Linked DNA regions of Macaca mulatta. The protein of the gene in region 3 interacts with the protein of the main gene of each other region in a pairwise test. Links are inferred from orthologs where the notes say so. Each region holds a gene or a part of one and is shown on either strand. Other genes may lie near its edges.

Region 1 (6,022 bases), on a different chromosome or scaffold from region 3:
CCCTAGAGATAGGGGTCTTCTTATGTGCCCAGGCTGGTCTCGAACTCCTGGGCTGAAGCGATCCTCCTGGCTCAGCCTCCCAAAATGCTGGGATTACAGGTGTGAACCTATAATGTTAATTCATCCCACTGTTGATGATTTTTAACTTTTACCACTTGAATAAGGTGCTGTTATCTGAGGATCTGGACAATTACCCCCTGGCTCCTGGTGTCACCAACTGCACTGGCTGAGCAAGCCATGCTAGCCATAGACCCCTGACTGTGACCAAGGGGAACAGGTATACATATTTTTAATTTTCTTGTTATGGATTTATAAGGTAAAAAGGAGAGGGATAAGGATGATAAAGTATATTTAATTTAACATGTTATTTGTTTCATAACTTCTTTGTTTGGATTTTATTTTATTTATTTATTTTTTTGAGACAGAGTCTTGCTCTGTCGCCCAGGCTGGAGTGCAGTGGCCGGATCTCAGCTCACTGAAAGCTCTGCCTCCCAGGTTCACGCCATTCTCCTGCCTCAGCCTCCCGAGTAGCTGGGACTACAGGTGCCTGCCACCTCGCCCAGCTAGTTTTTTGTATTTTTTAGTAGAGACGGGGTTTCACCGTGTTAGCCAGGATGGTCTCCATCTCCTGACCTCGTGATCCGCCCGTCTCGGACTCCCAAAGTGCTGGGATTACAGGCTCGAGCCACCGTGCCCGGCCTTCGATTTTATTTTTTATAGAGACAGGGTCTCACCAGGTTTCCCAGGCCGGTCTCCAACTCCTGGGTTTAAGTGATCCTCCTGCCTTGGCCTCCCAAAGTGCTAGGATTACAGGCCTGACCCACCACGTCCAGCCTGCTTCATGACTTTTTTTTTTTTTTTTTTTTTTTGAGACGGAGTCTCACTCTGTCACCAGGCTGGAGTGCAGTGGCACGATCTCAGCTCACTGCAACCTCTGCCCCCCTCGTTCAAGTGATTCTCCTGTCTCAGCCTCCTGAGTAGCTGGTACTACAGGTGCGTGTCACCATGCCCGGCTAGTTTTTTTATTTTTAGCAGAGATGGGGTTTCACCTTGTTGTCCAGGATGGTCTCGATCGCTTGACCTCGTGATCCACCTGCCTCAGCCTCCCAAAGTGCTGGGATTACAGGCGTGAGCCACCGCACCTGGCCTGAGCTACTGTGCCCGGCCCATGACTTCTAAATATTCAGATGAATGGTATGTGGGTCTTCCCATGAACCCTTGTCCTAAAACACACAAAAGTTAGGAGCGGGCCTGTATCCAGGCAGACTTTCCTTCCTGGTGCTTTTGCCTCCAATGTAAGCAAGGCCTGACCAAGACATGGAGCCCTTTTGGTAGGCTAATAACTTGATAATCCACCAAAATGAAGGTTTTTAAATATTTTCTATAAATACGAATTGAATACGTCTTTCTCTACACTTTCAAAGGTGGCCCTGCAAAAATAGAATCACAATTCCTGTGAGAAGTGTTTTAAGTTTTCTGCTCTAGAGCTCTGTTGACATCGGCCATAGTGGACTCTGTTTATTTTTCCTGTTATATAAGGAATTACAAGTTGGAATCAGAGGTAATTGGCACCCTAATTCTGATTTATCCTAGTGGCAGTGTTTTGGAGTCACTTAACCCTGTCATCCTGGTTGGCCGTACCTTCTTCCAGCCCTGATGGTGAGCAGCTGATACCCTGCTAGGTGCTGGAGAGTCAGAGGTGGACATCAGGGCCCACCCTCGGAAAGTTGACAGTCTGTGGTGGGCTGAAGCCGGTAGAAAGCTGCCGTAGGAAGGCAGAGGAGTGGCCCCTATCCCAGGCTTGGGGCTCTCAGGGAAGGCTTCCTGGGGGTGAGATGGGAGGGTGGGTCCGTTTGCTCTTGGACCAGGATGAGTAGCCCAGAGAAGGCAAGAGGGCTCCCAAGCAAACTTGCCCTATTTAATTTTTTTTTCTTGCTTAGAAAAGCAAAATACGTTTGTTATGAACAAAACAGAACAGAACAGAACAGAACAAAACAAAACAAAACAAAACAAAACAAAACAAAAACGCTGTAGCAAAGAAAGCGAAAGGCTCCACTAATCCTCCCTGCTCCTCCTCACCGCACGGATCCTATGAGATACCCCGAGCGTTGGAACCTTGACAGCTTGTGCAGGCATTCACCCTCCTGCCAGCAGGGGGCGGAACGTAAAACGCTTTGTGGCCGACGCCTTCTCTCTTCCACACGTCACTGGCGTGACTGCCTGCGCTACATACTGCGCCTGCGCAAGAGCTGTGGCCCTTTTCCCCCCCTCTAGCGCCGCTGGGCCTGCAGGTCTCTGTCGACCCGCGGACGCTGGTCTCTGTTCCGCAGGATGGTGAGTTTATGCCTCGGTCTCGGGGCTCTAGATACACGGAGGTTCCCTTTTCTTGTCCGTACGCCAGCCTAGGGCCCGTGTCGCGCGTCGCAGGGGCCGGATGGCGTTAGATTGCTGGCTGTGACTAGGTCGAGGTGCAGCTCCCAGCGTGGCCTTAAATGGCTGCCGCCCGGTGCGCGAACTTGGGGGGAGGGGTTGGCGAAGAAGGGTAGCGAGAGCTTGGACTGCGGATTGGGGAGAAGGGTGAGTTTAGACGGCCTGAGTGGGGATACTGCCGTCTAGTGTGAGGGGGCGCTGGCAAGCGGCCTGGCGTGAGAGGTCGCAAGCAGTCGGCCTCAGCCTAGCTGGAGAACGCCGGAATGGAGGGGGGCTGTAGGTCCTCGGGTCCCGCTCGAGCTCCGAGTACCGAGTACTTCGTGGCTTTTCCGGGAGAATGTCGGAGCGGGCGAGTCTTTTAGGAAGCTTGTGCTGGTGGGCCAAGCAAGTGGCTTTGAAGCCAAAATTGTCAGTGGAGCTTGGAGGCGGAGGTGTTCCTGGGCCCCGGAAACTCCTTTAACGTGGAATACGTGCCTCCTGTCTCTTCCTCTGGAGGCCGTCGCCGGACGAGTTATTAATTATTGGGGTAGGGCCCCAAGGGTGGGATGAAATGTTGCTTTAGCTGATGGGGAACAGTGCTGTTTTAGTGGGGAATTATTGCTGAATGTGCTCTTACCCAGTTAAGCTTTGTGGCAGGTAATTTTGGCTTTTGAAAAACATACGTGGGAAGCGAGAGAGGTATGTAGTTGTTATTTGAGGCTAGATTTTCGAAGTGGGACATAGCGTGTTCCGAACAGACTGACGTTTGGCGCCACTGACTGCTGTCTAGAGCAGTGCTTCGCAAAAGTTTGGCACAGTTGCTGGTGCTGGTCCTCGAAGAAAAAAGTACGGAAATTGAGAGCGTTTAAACCTTTTGAAAGCAATGTAACAATAATTTTATAGCTTTAAATGTAATAAATTGGGATCTGCATTTTGTATGTTTCTTTTATTCCATATTTCTCTAATGATTCGTTTTTATTGTGTTTTATAAAACTATCAGTCTGTGACATGGAATGTAGAGGAAAAACATTCTTGAACCCTAGTTGCTTGTGAAACATGGGATTCTGCAAGTGACAGTTTGTTTTTGCTCTTGAAGTTGGAGTGTTATTTTGTTACATGGTTAATTCATGTCAAAAGTATCATAGGCTAAGACATTATCAAAGTTTTAATAACATCCTTTTTTCTTTAAGGGGTTTGTTAAAGTTGTTAAGAATAAGGCCTACTTTAAGAGATACCAAGTGAAATTTAGAAGACGACGAGGTACTGTCACCTTTTTGTGTTTACAATATTAATCTGCTTTGCAGATGCAGTGGAATATCTTTTCTAAAATTACTTTTTTCTTTCTCAGAGGGTAAAACTGATTACTATGCTCGGAAACGCTTGGTGATACAGGATAAAAATAAATACAACACACCCAAATACAGGATGATAGTTCGTGTAACAAACAGAGATATCATTTGTCAGGTAAGTTATATTCTAGACATTCCCCCCTTTTTTTTTTACTGCTAGAGAAATTGTGCTTGGGAAGCAAAGCACATGGTGTGTGTGTTAGAAGGGCTGTCTAGCACCTCCAAAAGCATTCAGTGAATAATTTCTTTTCCTTTTAGTAAGTCTAGAATTGGAGCCTGGGAAATTGGTACTTTAAAAAATGCTCTTGGTTGGGCACGGTGGCTCATGCCTGTAATCCCAGCACTTTGGAAAGATTGCTTGAGCCCAGGAGTTTCAGACCAGCCTGGGCAATATAGTGAGAGTTTGTCTTCACAAAAAATGTAAGAAAATTAGCTGGGCATGGTGGGGCGCGCTTGTAGTCCCAGCCACTCAGTGGAAGGATTGTTTGAGCCCCGAGGTTGAGGCTGCAGTGAAGTGAGATCACACCTCTGCCCTCCAACCTAGGCGAGAGAGTAAGAGACTGATTTGTTTTATGTGTGTGGGATGGGGAGATTAGAAGCAAGTAAGAAGTTCTTGCCCATCCCAATTCCAGTAGAAGAATAGGGTTTGTCCTTATTTTTCCTATATGGCCTTGTATGCCACTTAACCACTGAAGAGGTAGTTGCGAGTTAAACAGGGATTTAAGCTTGTTCTGCTTATTCTTTGAAATAGGTTTTAATAAAATATACAAAGGTGGCTCCCGCATGAAAGACCTTTAGGAAGTGTCAGTTTGCTGTTGTACCAGGAGCACTCTCACTGGACTCTGAAAGCTAGAATCCTGGGCTTTTACAACTAGGAGAAATTCTGAGAGTTAAGATTTATTGATATTTTGTAGCAGGTAGGCACACCTGTGTTCTGGGCCAATAATTTGTTGATTGTGAAGGCATTGTCTTCCTCCGTACCCAAGTTCAGATAACTAAACATTAGGTTCCTGAGACTTTGCCGAATTTAGTTATGTTTAGTTCAAAAGATGATTGAAATATTTGGATATTCCTCTTTGACTTTTTAAGTACCTCTAATTTACTAGTAACCCAGCTAAGAGTCTTAAGCATTTTAAGTGATGCACATTTATGTCCATCAATGTTTTTTTAATTCCTTTGAAAAGAAATCATTAAGATGTAATGAGAGAGTGAAAGCAACAGATTACTAACCTAGTTTTTCTCTTACTGTAGATTGCTTATGCCCGTATAGAGGGGGATATGATAGTCTGCGCAGCATATGCACACGAACTGCCAAAATACGGTGTGAAGGTTGGCCTGACAAACTATGCTGCAGCATATTGTACTGGCCTGCTGCTGGCCCGCAGGGTATGTACAAGATGACTTTAATTGATGTAGTTTGCGGCTCATTGCTTGGAGAGTTTTCTGTAAGATGTCTGTAAATGGATAAGATAGCTTCAGTTGTGCTTCAGGAGAGTGCCTGCTTCCAGTTTTCTGCCCTGTTTATGGACCTATCTAGGTCAGCTCTTTCCAGTAAACTTTTCTGCAATGACACAAATCTGTAATTTGCTGTCCAGTGGTTTTGCCACTAGCAACCTGTGGCTGTTGAGTTCCAGCAGTATATAAACTTGTATTTGAAAATCTACTTGGCTGGGCACGGTGGCTCAAGCCTGTAATCCCAGCACTTTGGGAGGCCGAGATGGGCGGATCACGAGGTCAGGAGATCGAGGCCATCCTGGCTAACACGGTGAAACCCCATCTCTACTAAAAAAAAAAAAAAAGAAAAAACTAGCCTGGCATGGTGGTGGGCGCCTGTAGTCCCAGGTACTCGGGAGGCTGAGGCAGGAGAATGGCGTAAACCCAGGAGGCGGAGCTTGCAGTGAGCTGAGATCCGGCCACTGCAGCCTGGGCAACAGAGCGAGACTCTGTCTCAAAAAAAAAAAAAAAAAAAAAAGAAAATCTACTTGTAGCTAGTGACTATTTGCTACTTAGGTATACATTCTGGATGTTGGCAAACATTAAAAATGCAGACTTTTGGGAACTCCACTCTAGACCGTCTGGAATCTGTATTTTGATAGTATGTACCAAGTGATTTATATGCACATTAAAACTGGAGAATCTTGGCTGGGCGCAGTGGCTCAAGCCTATAATCCCAGCACTTTGGGAAGCCGAGAACGGTGGGTCACTTGAGGTTAGGAGTTTGACTAGCCTGGCCAGCATGGTGAAGCCCTGTCTCTACTAAAAAA
Region 2 (6,135 bases), on a different chromosome or scaffold from region 3:
ACTGAGACAAACTTTTCCTAAATATTTATCAGTTAGTCCTTAAATATTTTGCTTAAGAGAAGTCCTCAAAATTAAAGAAACTACGTCTTCAATGTACTGAGCAGAAGGAATGGAGACTGTGCAGCTGAGGAAGCGGGGGCTGAAAAATAAGTGTGGGTTGTGTCCCCACACACCAAGGACTGGTGAGAGGAACAACGCACAGTGGTGGAGTGGGAACTGAGCAGGCCATGAGGAGGACAGATATTTGTTTTGCTGCATTCAAGGCCGCCTATAGTTCCTGCCCTTTGGGTGCTCATGATGGCAGACAAGCTCTCATGAAGGTGAACCAAAGGAGGGAAATCACAGGAGACCCATTGGCCCCGCCACGCCTGAACAGCTGCTGCAGCCTGAACTTTCCACCTCACTCCTGCTTTCCCTTCTCCCCATGCATGCTTGCTTGTTGCACTGAACTCCAGTGCATCACTCATTCCTGTTCTCTTTGTCAGGAGAAAAAGTTCTCCTGACATGCAGTGTGTCAAAACCATACTCATCTCCCCAATCCGCCTTCCACTTCCCGCCCCTATGCTCCCGCCTGGCTTCTATTCTCAAATTTCACCGCAGCCGACACCTCTCTCCAGATTTCATGGCTCAGCAAGGGCACATACCATTCCTCCAGCAAAGCCATCCTTCTCCCTTTTCACCATTTCATCCTTTTGTCTTTCAAACTTCTCACCAACTGGGTGCGTTTTATCCTTCTCTTTGTTAGATACCTAGCATTTACAGCCATCTCTAGGCAGATGTGTGGTCGTTCAGTAAGAAGGGAACACATGTTTTGTGTGCTCACTCCAATGGGTGTCTGGCTTATAAAGTTGGTGTGGTCCAATTCCTGTCTGCCACCACCATTGTGCTCTGCTCTGCCCAACAGCTCAGAGAGGTTTGCTCTCTCCACTGGCCCTGAAGGCCCTGAAGGCCTCCCATGTTCCCCCAGTTCAAACTTCACCTCTCCCATGAGGCTTTCCCTCACTGCATCCTGCACCCTCACAGCCCTTAACACACCACTCAACAAATACACATTTCCATCTAACCGAATGTGACCCTGCGTCCATATTTATGTTTCTATAGATTAATGCATTCTTGTTTCCCCTGCCAGGTTCCATTGGCCTGGTTACCTTTTGCCCAGGTATCAGGAGATGAGGGGATGGCGAGAGGCTCAGAATCCAAACTTGACAGAGTAGGTGTCCACCACTAGGTGACGGTGGGATCAGGCATCTCCTTAGGCTGTCTGTGCTTCTGCTTTCTTTTCAGTGGAGATGCCTGCTTTCTTGGAAACACATGTGATGGTGGGCTAGCAGTAGAAGCACTACTGTAATAACAATGTGATCTTTGTCATTTCACTTCTTCGGACCTCATTAGTCCTACATATAAAAAGAGGAAGTTAAACTAGCTCAAATGTACTGAGCAGAAGGAATGGAGACTCTGCAGATGAGGAAGCAGGGCCTGAAAAATACGTGTGGGTTGTGTCGCCACACACCGGGACTCCTGGGATCCTGACCTCTTTTAGGGGTCAAAAGAGGGCAAACTAGTTGCCTAACAATATTTAGAGCTATTTCTCTCTTTTCACTCTCATTCTACGAGTGTACACGGGAGTTTCTAGAAATTACATGGTATGTGAAGTTATCCCTCTAATGATAACCTCTAATGAGGTTATTACTGTGATTTTTAATGAATACATTTAAAAATATGTTTTAATTTCTTAAAAAGAAACATTAATCTCTATGTACGTGTGTATACATATACAGGAAATGTATGAATATTCATTATACATGAATGTACATATATTCATTGTATATATGTATATATATTCATACATATGTGTGTGTGTATATATATATTTATACATTTCCTACATAAATAAAAGCTCTTTAAGGGACTAATAATTTTTAAGTGAAAAGGAGTCCTGAGACCAAAAAGTCTGAGAATCACTGAGCCAGATTTCTAGATCTTTAAGATCATTAATTCACTCAAGAAATAATTGTGCCTCTTGTGGCCAGGCATTTTGTAGATACCGAGGACAATGTGGTGATAAGAACATATTCCCTGCTCTGATAGAGTTTTACACTTGGGAGGGAAAAGACAAACAAGTAAATTAACAAGATTATTTCTGAGAGCAGTAGTTTTAATGAAGCCATAAAGCAGGACACACATTCCAGCACAATCTGTGCGCCTGCTCAGACGTAACACCCCGCAGCGCGGCAGGCGGATTCGGCAGCGTAGCCCCGAGAAGCCCCAAGCCCGCTCGGTCGCCCCAGGAGGGCGGGGGCGGGGCCTGCCTGCCCCCCCGCCGCTGGCGTCCGGTGACGTCACTGGGCCGCGCCAGCCAATCGTGGGTGGCCGGGGTCTGGGCACCACGGTGGCCTGCGGCCTGCGGGCGGCGCTGTGGCCCGTCGGGCGGCCCGGCAGAGCCGCCCTAGCCTCCCGCCTACCCCAAGCCAACGTCTCCGCCGTCGGCTCCGCGGCGCCGCCATGGCCGACGTGGAAGACGGAGAGGAAACCTGCGCCCTGGCGTCTCACTCCGGGAGCTCAGGCTCCAAGTCGGGAGGCGACAAGATGTTCTCCCTCAAGAAGTGGAACGCGGTGGCCATGTGGAGCTGGGACGTTGAGTGCGATACGTGCGCCATCTGCAGGGTCCAGGTGATGGGTAAGCGCTGCACGCAAGGCCGGGGCCGCGCTGCGGCCTCCGGGAGCCGACTTCGGGATTGGGACTGGACGGGCGCCCGCCAGAAGCCTTGGAAAGTCCCCTGCCTTGGGGAGTGGGTGGAGGTCGCCCTGCCCGGGCGCCGGAGGAACGCGGAGCCACGATCCTGTTGCGGCTCCTGAGGGCTGAGGGGTTGTGCAACAGGCGCCCGGCGCCGGGTGGTTGGTGTTCTAGGGAGAGAAATGGGCAATAAACGGAGGTAAACAAGGTAATTTCAGGTAGTGATGGGTGTGACCAGGAAAATAAAACCGGGTGATTGTTGGGAACTAGCAGGAAACACTTCGGTTTGTGTGGCCAGCCCCTGTTCTAAAAGCTCATCGCAAGGTGGACAGAGTAAAGGCCGTGATTCAGCAGTGAACTTTAATAGTCTTGGTCACCATCAAAGTGATGCTCCGGAGTCATCTTCCACAAAACGACACCCTTAGTTCTCCTCGAGGTACACAGGAAAGTGTTCACAGCCATTGCATTTCCGGATTAGCTTACCGCCGCTCTTCGAATGGCTTTTAAATCTGGATTGATCTAAGACGGGTCAGATAGCACTAGCGTGGCTTGAAGGGGACAGTGTGATTCAAGAATATCTAAGTTTCATGGAAGCCGAAGAATTGTAAGCCCTTTTTTCAGAAATGTAGAACTTCACCTCCATTACACCCCCCTCTCCATATCGGATGTCATTTCCTGGAGAAGATACTGCCCTGCTCTGAGTCATGCCTTTGTGGAGAACCCTCTTACAAATATGTCCTCTTTCTGTGATATTTGGAGTTAAAATATTAGACCAAGCAAAATGTTTCAGAACAGCTTACTCTTGTTATATTTTATATGGTTCTAAGATCTCAGACCACTTTGAAAAGCAAGTGCTGTTTAAATGCAAGTTGTATTTTCAGATAGGGCATTTAAAATTACTGTGAGAGCATCTTCAGTGGAGTTCTTTATTGAGGGTAGTTAAAGAAAACAGACATTTCTGTAGTTTGAAAACTGACTTGTCTTGAAAAATGAGAGAATTGGAGAACATAAAGAGAATTGCTGTCCTTGAGGGGGGATGAGACTTTAAACCTACCAGAATCAAGAGATTTCTCAATTTATGCTCTTTTGTCTTTTATTCTAAGGGCTTGTTTCAAAGAGGATTTACAACAATTGGATTCAGATATTTTTACCTTTTACTTTTGAAAGACCTTGTTATTAGACATGACCCACTTATTTTATATGGATCACTTGAGCCCAAGAGTTTGAGACCTGCCTAGGCAACATCGCAAGACCCTATCTCTACAATTAAAAATTAAAATAAAGTGACCAGGCATGGTGGCCTCCAGCTACTCAGGAGGCTGAGGTGGGAGGATCCCTTGAGCCCAGGAGGTCGAGGCTACAGTGAGCCTTTTTCCTGCCACTGCCACGATACTCTAGCTTGGGTGACAGAATGAGACCCTGTCTCAAAAACAAACAAACAAAACATATTAGGCTTTAAAAGTATCTAGTTTATTTGCCAGCAGTACAGCTGCCCCTACCCTCACTTAGGAATCATAGTTTCCAGTTTGGGAAGCATTTTTTAACTGATCCAAGAGACTTTTTTTTTTTTTTTTTTTTTTTTTTTGCAATACAAGTTTTGCTAAACATTTTATCTCCTAAATAAATTCCTTTAGTTTAAAGGAAACTAAACTTTCACTTAGTTCCTTTTCAGTTTAAAAATAATGTTCCCAAAGGGTATTTTCAAAAGATTTCTCTCCCAAAAAGCTATTTCCTCCCCGAAGGAAAAACATTTAAGCAGTAAGTGGAAATGTATAACCTGAAATAATGATTGAAACTTTGCAACAAATAAACTTTACTGAGATATTTTAATGTAGGTCAAAGTATAGGCTATAAATGACACATTTCATCATAAACTTTCTAATTATAGCAAGTATTCTGCTACTACAGGATCAGTCTTGCATATTTGCAAACAGCTGTACTTTGGGTTCAGGAAAGTATTCTAGGCTAGACCTTTGTATTTTGTTTATGAGGTGTTAAAACCCACTTAGAGGTCAGGTGACAGCAGAAGGAAACTTTTTTTCCAGACTTCCTAGTCTTTACCCTAGCACCCTTCTAAAAGGTGTTATTGTACTCCTTAGAAATGTGCTGTTTTAGATTCTAGGAAGATCATTAAAGCAAATTTTTATCTTTTATCTGCAACTTTAGGAATTTGTGTAGATTTGGGTCAGTTTTGATAATCTACATTAGAGCTATAAGCGTAATTTAGAGATTCCTAGATTCAGCAACAAGAACCCACTTTGTTCCCTTTCCTTAGTATTTGGAATTTATCTCACACTTGTGATTTATTATACTTTCTGCTCCCAAGATTTGCCCGTCAGCCCATTCTGATATGGATAACACTCTCATCTTCGTTTCCACTATCCTCCCTTCATTCAGAAAAGAGTGATGATTGCATAGTGAGCAAAGTGCTGATGAAAAGCGTTGAATAGGTTTGCTAGTAGAGCCAGTTATAATAGCCAGGGTAACCCTTCATGACTGTATCACCTTAGATATTTCACGTAACTTTTGGGAGCCTTATTTTCCTAATTTGTAAAGAGGCAGTTGGGATCACCAACCTTAATGTTAAAATTCTGTGATTGCACAGAACTAGAGCCAGATACAGGTAGCACGTCTTCACTGTTGTATCACAACCCTCATGATATTTAGTTGTCTGTCTACGTCCCCATTTGCTGGTGAGCCCCTTGAGACCCAGCCTTGGTCATTTTGGTGTCTCCAGTGCATAACTCCTTGCACAGAGGAGTAATTGTGGGATTGAAGAAAACCTCAGGAGGCAGTGGTTGTTTTTAATCCACACTGAAGAGACTAGGGCGGTGGTGTGTTTTTAAGGGTAAGAGCATGTGGAGAGGAGCAAACAAATGCCTGAGCAAAACCCAGTATAAGAAGAGAAGCAGGCTTCAACTCCACCGTGTTTCTATTTTTACAGAATTATTTTTCTCCTATTTATGTTAAAAACTATTTTCTGTTGGTTTGAACTTCCTTTTACCCAACACTGACTCCTCTTCCAGCTAGTGAATGAGTCCATTTTTGGTCCCTAAAATATTCTATATTACTTTTTTCATTAAGCTGATAGTATTCCAGATTGAATTTTGAAAACTTCTAGTACAGCCTTTAGGATCTCATTTTTAGTGTTTACACCTACTCCACTATATTAGAAGTTACTGTAAGCTCACTGGGCATGCTCATGGACAGTTCATTTTCAAGACACCCTTTTAAATAGCCCATACATATAATGTTAGTATTTGTTTATATGTACATCAAGAAATTCTAGAAGGATACCCAAGAAACCACTAATAAAGTAATTTATTAAAGTACTTTACCATTGCTGGGTAAATGCTTTGGGCTCAGACTTACCTGTAAAGGAAGTATTTTTTTTTAAAACT
Region 3 (5,413 bases):
AAGGAAGTACAGGACAGGTGGGGTAGGGAATCAGCGAATCGTCTTGACTGGGCTCTTGAAGTTGCTGGCGGCTTGGAGCTGCAGCTGGTAGGCCATCGGATGAATCTTGAAACCGTAGAGCCTGGACCAGGGCAGAGGTCAGAGAGGCAGTAGCATGAGCCCCATCCAGACCCTGCTAGTCACCTGCATTCCCACCTCCCCACCTGAACTCCTCCATGGACCTGCTCAGAGCTTAAGCCTAGTGGTTCCCAACTTCTCAGCTCAAGAACATTCTATGATAAGGTAACTGAAGCACAGACAATCAAATAACTTTCCCACAGTCACTCCGCAGGGAGATGCCGATTCTGGGAGAAGCAGGCCTCAAAAAAGGGCCATGCCCCATCCTCCCCTCTCTCTGGGGGATCTTAGGCCTTTCCTTTTACCCTTAATGACTCTCCCTGCTCCCTACCTGGGCACAAACTGGTTGGCGGGTCTCTTGGGCCGGTACTCGGGATGCACCATGAAGAGCATGTGAGGGAAACCAGTGCCAAAGTAGGCGCCATCCGTGTGATGGTGTCTCGATGACTTGGGTGTGTACACATCCATGCACTTGGGGCAGTAGAGCTTCACCATGGCTTCACCTGGGATGTCTGAAAGGCCTGGGAGACAGCCAGACTCAGGAGGCCAGGTATCTCCCTGTTCCTACTTAACCTCCCCTCAGGACTCAGGCCCCAACATGCTGAGCCCTAACTCCTTCCCGTAAGACTGCCACAAGGTGCCTTCCTTTCCCTTCTTCAACACTCACCGATGGGAAGCATTGGCTGGTTCTCACAGTACACACGAGGACAGTAACCAAAGTCTCCCTGCTGGTACTTTTCCAACTGAGGTGAATAAAATGGAAGGGGTTGGCAGGTAGGTGTGAAGAGAAGAGGCAACTCCCTTCTCAGCTCAACCCATATCACTCTGTCCCCCACTCCTCCCACCTCTGTCCAGAGGCCCCTTCTCTGGCCCAGATGGGCTCTCAAACTCCTATGTTGCCTTTCTTCCAGTTAGGCAGGCTACAAACCATCAGAGCCATTTGTTGTTTGTTCCCTGAGGAAGAGGCAGTCTATCACAACTCTCTGTTCAAGGACTGTCTCCCTCCCTGAAAATTATCCCTTCAGGATGACCCCCAATCAGAATTCAATTCCCAGGCCCAAGCCTGGGGTTCTTCTCCTCTTCTCAGCCAGTTTCCTTAAACAAGGCTTAAACATGACTTCTTGCTGCAGGAACCTGTGTCCCTTACTGCTCAGAAGGAGGCAATTAGGAGCAGAGAGGCCTCACCATCTGGGCAATGCCACGGTTGGTAAGGATGTAGCGGGCGTGGATCAATCCATAAAGCATCTCGGCAGCCTGCTCAATCAGGTCACTCTGGTTGGGGTTGTCTTCCAGTTCTTCATCTGAAACACAGCCCGGCCAAATGCAACCACTTGTTTTTCAGCTTTCCTAGGTGCCCTGCCCATATCCAGGGGGTGCGGACTATTCAGTTCGCCTGGCACCTACTTTTGGGCCTTACCCCATCCAACATCTGGGCATGTGACCCAGAAACCTGGGCTTCTGACCCTTGCGCCAACCCAAGACAGCTCTGTCTTCTCTTCACACCTCTTTAGCCTCCGCTCCCCACTCTCCCTCCCAGCTCCCTCCCCAATACATAACTGCAACAATGTCAATGCAAAAGATGAAACTCTAGACTGGAAGGTGCAAAGCAGGAGAAATAGCAAACCAGACCCATGAGGAAACATATTTTGGAAAACATCTGAATTGTGGATTTAGAAAACATGGGAACAAGTGATATACGTCACAAAACTAGACACAGTCAGGTGGAGGATCAAAATAAAGCATGAATTTGGGGTTAAAGAAATCAGAGAACCAAAGGAAATTTCAAAATTCAAGTAAGTGAATATAGATTTGAAGAGAAAAAAAGTGCATGCACACACACAAAACAACCCTGAGGGTGCCTCACCAGGCTCCAGGTCCAAGATCATGTCTAGAGCTTGTCGATAGTGAGGAACCTGCTCATTGAGTCCAGTAAGATTAAATTTGTCCTGAATGTAGTCTTCATCCACCTGTGGGGACATGGAAGCCAAGAGGGAACCCATATCAAAATCCCCATCTTTGACCTGGGCAAAATGCTCTAACTGATGCCTTATCATCAACACAACTGCATCTGTTCCGCTTGTTTCTCACTCCCAACTCAGCAGAAGTACTTGCGTCTCTCCCTAGTTCACCTATACTCCCTCCCATAAAGCTTTGGCTTTTCTTTTCTAAGGATAAGCAGGTACAGCAATCTTTTTCTTAGACATTCTTTTCAAGATCTCTGTCCCTACTCCTGTACTCCATCTCTAGGAACCAGTTTTGTCCTCTCAGCTGGCTGAGGAGGATGGAAGCTGAACGGCATGGTTTCTGAACAAAACATTTCAATACGTAGCATTTCAATTTTCCTAACAGCCAGCTGAGACATGTACTAGCAGTACAACTTTAGTAATAAAAGATACAGGCTGGGCGCAATGGCTTATGCCTGTAATCCCAGCACTTTGGGAGGCTGAGGCGGGCAGATCACCTGAGGTCTGGAGTTTGAGACCAGCCTGGCCAACATGGTGAAACCCTGTCTCTACTAAAAATCCAAAAATTAGCCGGGTGTGGTGGCGGGTACTTGTAATCCCAGCTACTTGGGTGGCTGGAGCAGGAGAATCGCTTGAACCTGGGAGGCAGAGGTCGCAGTGAGCCGAGATCGCACCACTACACTCCAGCCTGGGCGACACAGTGAGACCCAGTCTCAAAAAAAAGATAAAGAAAAAGACACAAATTGCCTGCTGGAGGGTGGCAGAGTCAAAACTTGGGCCCCAGTTTTGCCACTTTAGCACAGGTTCGTCGGGGGTTATTGAGGGGACTCTTCGTTGATGGGAAGTTTTCAAGTAGTATGTAAGAGAACAGTGTAGAAGTGGAATACGTGAAGGAACATCTGGTGGGAAGATATGTGAAGCCAGCAAGTAGGGAGGTCGAAGAGAACTCACTTCACAGAAGAATTCATTGCCACGGAGCCCACAGAACCAGGAAATCCAGGACACCTCCTCTGAGCTGCTCATCTTCACGTCAGCTGAAAAAAAGAGTGTCAGTAAAGCTCAAGTTCTCCTTCCCTGCCTCGGGTATCCTCCCTCCTCCCACATTAGAACCACCCTTTCTTAAAGGATCCCAAACTCTGAAGCACTCCTCTCCAACTCCTCCAATTTACATCTCAGTTCCCTTTTCTTTGACGTTAAACATTCTTTGGGGTCCCACCACTTGAAAGAAGCCAACAGATACTTTGACCCACCAGCCCGACCCACGTCCCTGGAGCTCCCGAAAGCCAGGGCCCTCTCTTCTCTGTGTCAACTCCGGCAGGGACCTCGACTCAGGCTCCGTACCAATGCAAGTCTCTGCACGACCCCGGCGCCTTTCCCAAGGATTTCAAAGTTTATCACTCTCAAGCAAGAATCGGGCCCCTCCTTTTCTCAAGGGTTGGGGGCGACTGTCAGGTCCCTTTCACCGGATTCCACACATCCCCCCTCCGCTCCTCAAGCCACCTCTCCCTCCTTGCCGGACCTGGTTGCTTCCTCCCCCCGCCCCCATATCAAAGTGCGGAGACCCATGTGCGGCTCCCAGCGACAAGCGACTAGGAGCAGCGAAGACCTCAGACTCACCAGCTGGACGGGGACCAGGACTGGGGTGGGGTAGGGAAGTTGCTACTTCGAAGGAACGGCGGCGACCGCTACAGCGCAGGCCGCGGACCCGACCGCGGCAGGCGAAGTGGGGTGGGGGGAGTGGAAATTGGGGAGGGTGGGGAAGAGGGCAACACGCAAGCGCCAAGGGTCAGGTGCCGCGGTGGATGCCGGGACGCGGAGTCCCCGGTAGAGAGAGAAACCGGCTAAGTGAGGGAAAGCGAACTACCAATCCCAGGATGACCCGCGCACGACCTGGCTGTCACGAATCCCCGGAGGAGGACGCTTGCGGGCGGGGCGCAACGAGAAGCCACCGGAAGCGGAAACCAGGTATGGCGTTCGGGGCCTGGGAGCCTGGGCAATACAGTTGTGTGCTCACTGGGCGAAGAAGCTGACTTAGGGCGGGGAAAGGAGGGAGCCAGGCTGGACCCCTCCTCGCAGCTCTCCTCACAGTTGCCCTCTAGTCCCGGCGCGGTGCTGCTTCCCTGGGGACTGGCCTATCCTTGGCCAATGCGCTGGGTCCTTATTGCCTGTTGGGCCCCTAGTGCGAGTCAGTCCCGCCAGAGACCCTTGACGGGCCTTCTGTTTTACTCCGGGCTCCGGCCTCATGAGGCGAGAGGTGCGGCTTGGCTCCGTGCGTAGGGACTTGGGTTGGGAGGGCTGGGCTGGGCTGGGCTGTGTGAGAACCAGAACGGCCCAGTGCGCTAACCTGAGGTGGTGCCAGCCATTCTGCTCGTCCCCTTGCACTTCTCCATTTCCCCTTAGTCTCTAAGTGTGACCTTCGAACCCTGGTCAGAGTAATGGTGAGGGGCAGGCGTGACGTTATTTCATTACACGGCTTCTCGGCATTCCACAGGTTTCCCTCCGCCTCCTGAGGGCCTTTCCTAACCCAGAGAGTGGATTCCTAGCTCCAGAAAATGGGCTTGGAGCGGGGGCCACGTAGAGGAAGGCGAAGGGCATTGTGGGGGCGTTATGTAAAAGTAGGACCCCAACCGACAGATCCTAGCGCTCGCGCCACCTGGGCGCGCGGAGCTTTGCTCGTTTACTATTGGAAAAGTTCCAGCGCGGGAAACTGAACCGGGAGCTTTGCGCACGCCTGAGCCATCAAGTAATGTGGGTGGTGGTTTTTGTTGTTGTTGTCGCCACGCATGCGTCTCCGTGCCGTGTGGCTATTTGATTGTGTCAACTCTGCTGATCAGAATAGCGCCATTTTGCGGTACGGAAGCTACACGGCAACACGTATAGGAGCCTCTCCCCGAGATCTTCTAGGGAGTGACCCGTCTATTTTTGTTTGGGAAGAGGAAACTCCGAAATGGGATCACGGAAGACTTAAAGGGCCAGGTTTGATTTTTTTTTTTCCTACTGGTATGTCTGTTTTACGGGGTGAGAAAGTGATTTCAGAAAGAGGCTGGTATTTATTGTTGGTAAGGATGGGGGTGGGGGCCGGACGCAGGACCTCTGGACGACTGTCTCATGGAGTTTGATTAATTTTTACTAAGGAGCAAAGTCGGTATTGTAGGGTTTCGTGTTTTTACGCATATACTCTCTCCCTTAGACCCTGCAGAGTCTTAAGTTGTGGGGTCACTTTAGCGGCAGGAAAGTGTTTTTGACTACTTTTTCTCATCCCAGCAGGTCCCTGAGGCTCTGGTTGCTACAGAGTCACCAGGAGCTTGGCTTGCTTGTCGCATCCTTCCCTT

Evidence for each region. The genes of interacting proteins can lie anywhere in the genome.
Region 1: the proteins of CSNK2B (region 3) and RPL5 interact in a two-hybrid assay, tested with the Homo sapiens proteins (5 studies listed by BioGRID and IntAct). The link is inferred for Macaca mulatta from reciprocal best matches to the Homo sapiens genes CSNK2B and RPL5.
Region 2: the proteins of CSNK2B (region 3) and RNF7 interact in a two-hybrid assay, tested with the Homo sapiens proteins (2 studies listed by BioGRID). The link is inferred for Macaca mulatta from reciprocal best matches to the Homo sapiens genes CSNK2B and RNF7.

What each region holds. Positions count from the first base shown.
Region 1 is NC_133406.1:147,476,036-147,482,057, reverse strand, and holds the start of RPL5 (large ribosomal subunit protein uL18), read left to right. Parts: upstream 1-2,256; 5' UTR 2,257-2,331; coding exon 2,332-2,334; exon of another isoform or gene 2,335-2,577; intron 2,578-3,599; coding exon 3,600-3,669; intron 3,670-3,757; coding exon 3,758-3,873; intron 3,874-5,009; coding exon 5,010-5,144; intron 5,145-6,022.
Region 2 is NC_133407.1:44,727,157-44,733,291, forward strand, and holds the start of RNF7 (RING-box protein 2), read left to right. Parts: upstream 1-2,369; 5' UTR 2,370-2,502; coding exon 2,503-2,677; intron 2,678-6,135. UniProt on the Homo sapiens protein: Catalytic component of multiple cullin-5-RING E3 ubiquitin-protein ligase complexes (ECS complexes), which mediate the ubiquitination and subsequent proteasomal degradation of target proteins.
Region 3 is NC_133409.1:150,651,973-150,657,385, forward strand, and holds CSNK2B (casein kinase II subunit beta), read right to left. Parts: upstream 3,746-5,413; 5' UTR 3,699-3,745; intron 3,116-3,698; 5' UTR 3,105-3,115; coding exon 3,033-3,104; intron 2,085-3,032; coding exon 1,982-2,084; intron 1,419-1,981; coding exon 1,303-1,418; intron 861-1,302; coding exon 785-860; intron 639-784; coding exon 449-638; intron 122-448; coding exon 31-121; 3' UTR 10-30; downstream 1-9. UniProt on the Homo sapiens protein: Regulatory subunit of casein kinase II/CK2.